Lytechinus pictus: one gene and its partner. The protein of the gene in region 1 binds, or shares a complex with, the protein of each later gene. Links are inferred from orthologs where the notes say so. Each region holds a gene or a part of one and is shown on either strand. Other genes may lie near its edges.

Region 1 (3,759 bases):
ATGACATTTTAAAGTTTCGCTTAATTTCACAAAAATAGTTATATGCACATCCTGGCTGGTATGCAAATGAAAAGACTATGACGTCATCCACTCACTATTTCTCTTGTATTTTATTATATGAAATATGAAATATTCTAATTTTCTCCTCATTGTCAAGTGATACAACGATTAATTCCTCCCTGAACAGATGGAATTAGCATTGTTAAATACTATATGGTTCAGTCAAGTTGGTCCTTATTGTTAAATCTATAAAAAATTGAAATATTGTATAATTCAAACAATAAAAAACAAAAGAAATAGTGAGTGATGGACATCATCGACTGACTCACCTAGTTCTGCATATCACTGTTTTGTGAAAAATAAGCGAAACTTTAACATGTCATAACTTTCTTATTTTACATCCAATTTTGATGAAATTTTCAGCACTATGCTTGTTTGATTTTTCTCTATTTATTCAAGTCAGCATTTTCCTAGGGTGGACTTGACCTTTAAATAAGTCTAAGGTATGAAATGGGACCATGATATCTATCTTGTTCAGTGATCATCTTCATCCATTGCCGTTATTTTTTTATTCTCTTAGGTTAGCTACCATATATGTGATGTAGGCCTATATTCAATTCATATCTTACATAATCTATCGTTCCATGACCATCTTCATCAATTACTGTTGTTTTATTTTCATGCGGTTAGCTACCATATCAGATTTATACATGCGTCTTGTTATCAACATCAATCTTGTTGAGTGATCTTATTCATCCATTGCTGCTCGTTTCCTTTTCCTGTGGTGAGCTACCAATATCTGATTGATTTATATGCACATCTTTCATAATCTATCTTGTTCCATGACCACCTCCATCCATCACTGCTTGTTTTCTTTTCTTGTGGTTAGCTACCATATCAGATGTATATCTTGTTATCTACAACTATCTTGTTCATTGATCATCTTCATCCATTGCTGCTCGTTTTCTCTTCCTGTGGTTAGCTACCATATCTGACGTACAGATCTTTGTGATCTGTCTCGTCTCCCAGCTCTGAAAACTCCTAAGACTAGCCTGTCCAGCTCGGTAGATAGACCTCTCTGATTCATCCATCTTGCTTGTTAGGCGGTTATTATCCTCATGAGATGCATTCTGTGAGCCATCCATTACCTTGCGGAAACGATTAATGTAGGTCTGTGGAAAATACAACAATTATATAGAAATCTGGATCAGATACGTGCAGTGATTTGAAGTTTGTAAATGCAGTAGGCCCTACTTAAAAATGAGTAGAAAATTTTCATTACAAAAACAAAATTGTTTTAATCTTAAAACTAAGAATAATGATCCACAATGCAACTAGCTGTAGTTTAGCAAGTAGCGCTTGGACCTATATCAAAACCATACATTATTCTGAATACCACAAGCAGATTTTCGACATTATCATATTTTTTTCGGAGTCATACCAGGGCAGTGTTTCCCAAAATTTCCAGAATTTCTGTAAATTTTGATTTTTTTTTCCTGGAAAGGTTCGGGAAATGAAAACTCCAGGAAATTCCGGCTTGGGAAATCCAAAAATTAAAATTAATTAAACAACAATTAAACATAGCAACTTTTAATATTCATATAATATCTAAAGAATTTTTACCTCGATATATTGACTTTATTGTGTAGCTCAAAATTTTCTGTTTGTGCTCTGCACTTTCATTTAGTCATTTTGTTCCTATCCTATTTTTAAAGAGGGCATGGTCACTTGGACCAACTTGTTTAGGCTCATTCAATTGCCCAATTTTTGTTTAAAAATCAAACTTGAAAGTTCCAGGATATGTCTTTGAATTTCAGGAAATTTATTTTGGGATTCAGTTTCGGGAAATCTTTGGAAATACTTTAGGGGCTAAATCATATTCTAATTTCACACACATGCACAGTAGTTCACAAGACTATAGTCATGACATTTTTTTTCTCACTTTTTCATATCATATCATATCATACTCATAGTATCATAGTCTCAGACTCTCAGAGTCATACTATACTAGACAGTAGGCCTATAGATTTTGTTATTGTCTAACTAACGTTAAATCATAAATGATCTATTCACTAATCATTCTCACCTCAATCAATGACTTTGCGATGTCTTCGGATTCTGGGAAATCAAAACTGAGAATTTTAGTTCCAAAAGCGTAGAAGTAGGGGCCCATTTTATGTAAATCGACGATGTTTGCATCAGCACTCATTATCTCTCGGTAGGAGCCGCGAAAATACTTGGGCGGTTCAACGCTTACAAGAGGCCTGCGCCGCCCGAGGAGCCCGGTGACCAGCCAGTAGGGAAGATCCATTTTCGTACCAACTCGTATGTTTTCACCATCTGAACCAGGATTCAAAAAACCAAGTCGATGCAATGGTAGTTCAACCTTACAAGGTATCTTTTCATGAGTCGCAAGAATGTCGTTTATATCATAGTAATTATCTGAATTACTGCTGTATCGTGAATAAGTCAACGAAGATGCCATTCTCTTTGAGTTTTCAGAGTTTGAATTCCCGCATATCCAAAATAATAGAGGTTGAGCGCCATCTAGGGTCAAAATCAAGAGAATAAAATCTGAAAGCTTATCCACCACTATTATGGTCAAAGGATAATGAAACCCTGATGAGAAGTTTTGAAAGCACAAAAAATGGGTTTGAGTAAAATTGGACACACAATAAGAAAGAATTATGAGCGTTTGATTGTTGACCGGATTGTTTGAAAAATTAAAGGGGTACTCCCAGTGCCCCTGGGAACGATTGTGGGGGTGCTGAAGTGAAAGGGGGGGAAACTGAAGGTTGTTTTTGTACAGAGAAATTCGACAATAAAAAAGGAGGTATACTACAAAACGGAGGAGCTTTCGGTCCCAAGAAATTTGACTAGCCATTTTTTTTTTATTAAAGTGATTTCGGGATGCTTCAGCTCCCCCGCTCATAAGGGCCATGGATACTCAAGGCTGAAAATAATATTTGAACAGATAAAGAAAAATCAGGTGCTTATATAATTTATGTTTCATTTCAAATTCTTGATTGTGTTTGGATTGATTTAATGGCATTATGGGCATGCAATGCAAGATATTTCTTGATTTTGTGTATGATTGTGTGTAAACGCGTTTCATAATTATGATTTTAATGTATGATAATATGCTTACTTTATAGATTTTTTGAGAGTGTATTTGATATCAGGTGTTCTCATTTTCATATGAATTTGTTACCCCCTATTTTGTTCACCTAATATGAAGGTTTTATTCAGCTTGGGTCGGCTGTATTTGGCAGTTAATGATACGCGTACCGCCTTGACCGAACTGTGCGAAGTCTGTGTGGTAGAGATAGGCCGGGCCGTAAACACTACTTCTTGGGGGTGCATAAATTGCCCTAATTAAGTTTATAAATTGTGACAAAATAGAATCACTGTAATTTGTTTATGATATTGACTGTGGTACGACATAAGGATAACGGAGCAGCTTCTGTTTATGTTAAGATATAGACATATAAGGAAATGTTTTCTTCTGACCAAAAAGTGAGAATAATTTTCTCTGATTCTGTACTCCTTCCCTCGATGTACTCCCGAGTTCAGGTTCAGTTGTCTTAGCGACGCGTTGTTTACTACTGCGCGCATTGTGTGTGTACGTGATTATTGCATAGAAAGGTATTCGGCGTATTGTGTGGTGTATACACCGTTCATGCGCTGCACGTATACGTATATGCACCGGTATGCACACATTATTCATCCCTGGATTTGGCTTCTTAAAACGAGACAAGC
Region 2 (3,759 bases), on another chromosome or scaffold:
ATTTTAATGCAAATATAGTACCGTTCTTACACAAGTGTGCCCCACCCCCTTTTGAAAGTCACAGCATATATTTTAATCATAGGCATTGGCGGCGGAGCAGAGGATTATCTTTTGTGTTTGGGGGGACGCAACAATTGGCGCCCCCCCCCCCAAACACAAAAGAGTAATCCTCTGCTCCGCCGCCAATTATTATATAGGCCTACACAAGTGAAGACCCTTTTTTTACTTGTCAAAGTTTACGTGCGGACGAAGTCGCCTTTATTTTGGGGTGAAAACCAAAACCTAATGAACGGATGTATTCACGAAAACGCTGTTTATATGAATTCCATAGTCGTAAAAATAATGCCCAGTCGGTTATTTCAGTTCGCACATGTTGTTAAAGGTCAACTCCACCCCAGAAAAATGTTAATTTGAATGAATAGAGCAAAATCAAACTAGCAAAACGCTGAAAATTTCATCAAAATCGGATCTAAAATAAGACTAAGTTATGACATTTAAAAATTTTGCTTATTTTCACAAAATAGTTATATGCACAACTCAAATGAGAAAGTCGATGATGTCCCTCACTCACTATTTATTTTGTTTTTTATTGTTTGAATTATACAATATTTCATTTTTTACAGATTTGACCATAGGGACCGACTTGACTGAACCATATAGTATTAAACAATGCTAATTCCACATGTTAAGGGAGGAATTAGTCACTGTTCGCTTGACAATGAGGAGAAAATAGAATAATTCATATTTCATTTAATAAAATACCAAAGAAATACAGTAGTGAGTGGATGACGTCATCATTCTCCTCATTTGCATACCGACCAGGATGTGCATCTAACTGTTTTGCAAAATTAAGCGAAACTTTAAAATGTCACAACTTTCTTATTTTACATCCGATTTTGTTGAAATTTTCAGTGTTATGCTTGTTGGATTTTCATTTAGTTCTCTTTTTATTCAAATCAAGTTTTTGTTCGGGTGGACTTGCCCTTTAAGTAAAGAGAGAAGGCAAAATCAAAGGGTAAATAGGAAAAGAGGAACTCGGAAAATAAGTAAGAGAAAGGAAATGGAAAAAAGGAGGGGGGGGGAGAAAGAGAGAGAGAGAGAGAGGGGAAGGGAAAAGTGAAAACCAAAAATTGGAGATTTGTATTAATATAGGCCTAAGACGTTATTGAAACAGAATATAGATCTAAAGACGGAACATTCTTCTTCCTCCTTGTTTTTTTTTCTACTTCTCACCTTCTCCTTTAATTCTCTCTCCCCCTCTCCAAGCTTTCTTTCCTTGTTCCTTTCTTCCTTCCTTCCTTCCTTTCTTTCTTTCTTTCTTCTTTTCTTTCTTTCTTTCTTTTTTCTTTCTTTCTTTTCTTCTTCTTCTTGTTCTTGTTTTTCTTCTTCCTTCTTCTTCTTATTCTCCCCTCCTCTCCTTTTTCATTAGTTATTATTTTTATTTACACTGGTATTGGAAACGTATGGGGGTTGGGGCAGCTGCGTCTCGAATTGAATTAAATTGACACACACAATCACTGAAAGAAAATCTCAAAAAGCTGGTAATTTATTCACATTTGGCCCTTTAATTATGCGCCATCTACGTTTCAGAGAGGAAAATTACCCGCTCGATGCTGTTATATTTGAATATTTTACTTCCTCTATTTTTCTATCTATTAATATTTTGTCTAATGATTTTGAAAAGTCATGGAAAAAAATTACAACAATTTTGCATCTAATATTAAAGAATATTTTTTTTCATATGGTGATTTATTTTTTGATATGAAAATAAGTTGATTATTAGTATAATCAATCAATTAAAAACATTAAAGTTGAGGGAGTAATTGTTATAAATGGAATTGCACAAACAAATCACATGGCTGCCGTGGCGCGAAAGAAGTGTGCGATGAATTGAATCTCGCGCTGGACCGTACCGCGGATCGGAGCAGGGATCATCTATCAACGGCATCCAATACCCAGCGGCCAGACCAGGCGACGCGCCAGACAAATCACCGTACCGCATTGTAACATCAGTTTATGCACTGCACGTCAATATCTTTGAGGAAGCTCAATTCAATCAATTGTTTTTGTTGACGAGAAAAGTTTATTTTTCTCAAATCTACAATGGATGTTGCTGATCAAAGAACTGGTATCACCCAAGTTAAGGATGATGTTGCAGAGAAATGCCAGAAGCTATTTCAAGATTTTTTAGAAGAGTGAGTTTTTTTTTAAATAAGTTTTAATCCCAGGCATGAACACTGAAGTGATGAATGACGTTTTCCCAAAGTTACTCCCAACTCGGCTTACCTGTAGAATCCAATGTCATGTGATATAATGTGTGTTGATGCCTCGTTCTAACTACAAGTCATAGTGAGTTAGTATCCGTGCTCTCATAATTGAGTAAAGTTACTCTAGCTAACGAGTAACGTTAAACTTAAACTTTAAAGTTAAACCTTTAATAATATGCTAGAATCCAATGAATGTCATTTACTATTTAGAGTAGGCCTACAGCTGGCCGCAGCCGTCTGCTTCGAGGATTTTTTAAACATTTTGTTCTCCTCGTACACAGACGGCTCGCGATCGTGCAGCCGCATTAGAGCCTAGAGGGTTAACAATGCAAAATCCCTCCCGACGGGGCTCATCGATTTTTTACTTTATTTCATTAAAAATATATAAAAAGAACTGGACCAAATAAAGATTGTTATTCCGCTTTATCCTGAAATGCACCAAAACGGGAAAAAATAAACTTATAAGGACAAAAAACAGTGACTTGTCTTAGTCATTTACTTCGGCTGTCGCGCAATTACTTTACTTCCCTGGTTTATCCGAACTTAATAATAATACACAAACATATGGCCATTGAGTACCTGCATGTACTGACAGATCGAGTTAGAACTACGGTCTCTGTAAAATTAAAAGTGTAATTGGTGAGTGGAGCCAACGGTGGTTCAGCGGAACAGCCATTAAACAGATACCGAAGCTTTTGGTCTAGAATGTCATGTGAAATAATGACAATGACGTATCGTGTGTGTGATGCCTCGTTCTATCACTAACGTTACAGTTTGTATCCATGCTCTCAGTCTCATAATCGATTATGACAGTGGATTGTAAAGTTAGATCTCTACTCCGGCAATATCATCTTGCAAGTTGCTTTTAATTTTATTTGCATTTTTTTATTAACATTAACAATGAGCAGCTAGCAGATAAGTTGCAACATGCATGATGAACTTTAATGTGTATCATGTTTATTAACTAAAAAAGAGCAAGCGACAATGTTTTTTTTTTGTCAAAATGACACATGCACATCCAATTTGTCTTTGTTGTTCTGGAGTTCTGTTTTAACAGTGTTAGCATGGGTAGACCGAATTTTGTTCAACTATAGTCTAACAGTCTCAATACTATAGTAGAGGGGTAATGTCAGTCTTATGAAAACAAACATGAAAAAAGAGAGATGAAAAGTTTTTTCATTTTCAAAAGAACTATATTCACCTCCCTCCATAGACATGACTATCCCATATGCACTGCCGTGGTAGGCCTGGGGGGGGGGGCACTCAAATGATTTTTTGAAGGGGTGTGCCTCACGAAACTCTGAAATGGGGGTCAAAGAAACTGACAAAGGGTAAAGTACAGGGTCTTGGGAACTTAGTATATATCGCGCGGTGTGAAAAACATGGTCTACGGAACAGGATCACGGCACTTTAGGTACCCGGTACGGTGCACCATAGCACTGAATGCGCTCGCCATGCATGAAGCGGCTACTAGTTATATGTAGGAGTTGCG

What was found. The genes of interacting proteins can lie anywhere in the genome.
Region 2: DNA replication complex GINS protein PSF3-like (region 1) and zygotic DNA replication licensing factor mcm6-B-like share a complex: the UniProt entries of both Homo sapiens proteins name them as parts of the CMG helicase complex. The link is inferred for Lytechinus pictus from reciprocal best matches to the Homo sapiens genes GINS3 and MCM6.

The regions. Positions count from the first base shown.
Region 1 is NC_087246.1:26,110,150-26,113,908, forward strand, and holds the start of DNA replication complex GINS protein PSF3-like, read right to left. Parts: upstream 2,523-3,759; 5' UTR 2,486-2,522; coding exon 2,087-2,485; intron 1,173-2,086; coding exon 933-1,172; 3' UTR 1-932. UniProt on the Homo sapiens protein: Required for correct functioning of the GINS complex, a complex that plays an essential role in the initiation of DNA replication, and progression of DNA replication forks.
Region 2 is NC_087247.1:29,949,671-29,953,429, forward strand, and holds the start of zygotic DNA replication licensing factor mcm6-B-like, read left to right. Parts: upstream 1-1,612; 5' UTR 1,613-2,103; coding exon 2,104-2,195; intron 2,196-3,759. UniProt on the Homo sapiens protein: Acts as a component of the MCM2-7 complex (MCM complex) which is the replicative helicase essential for 'once per cell cycle' DNA replication initiation and elongation in eukaryotic cells.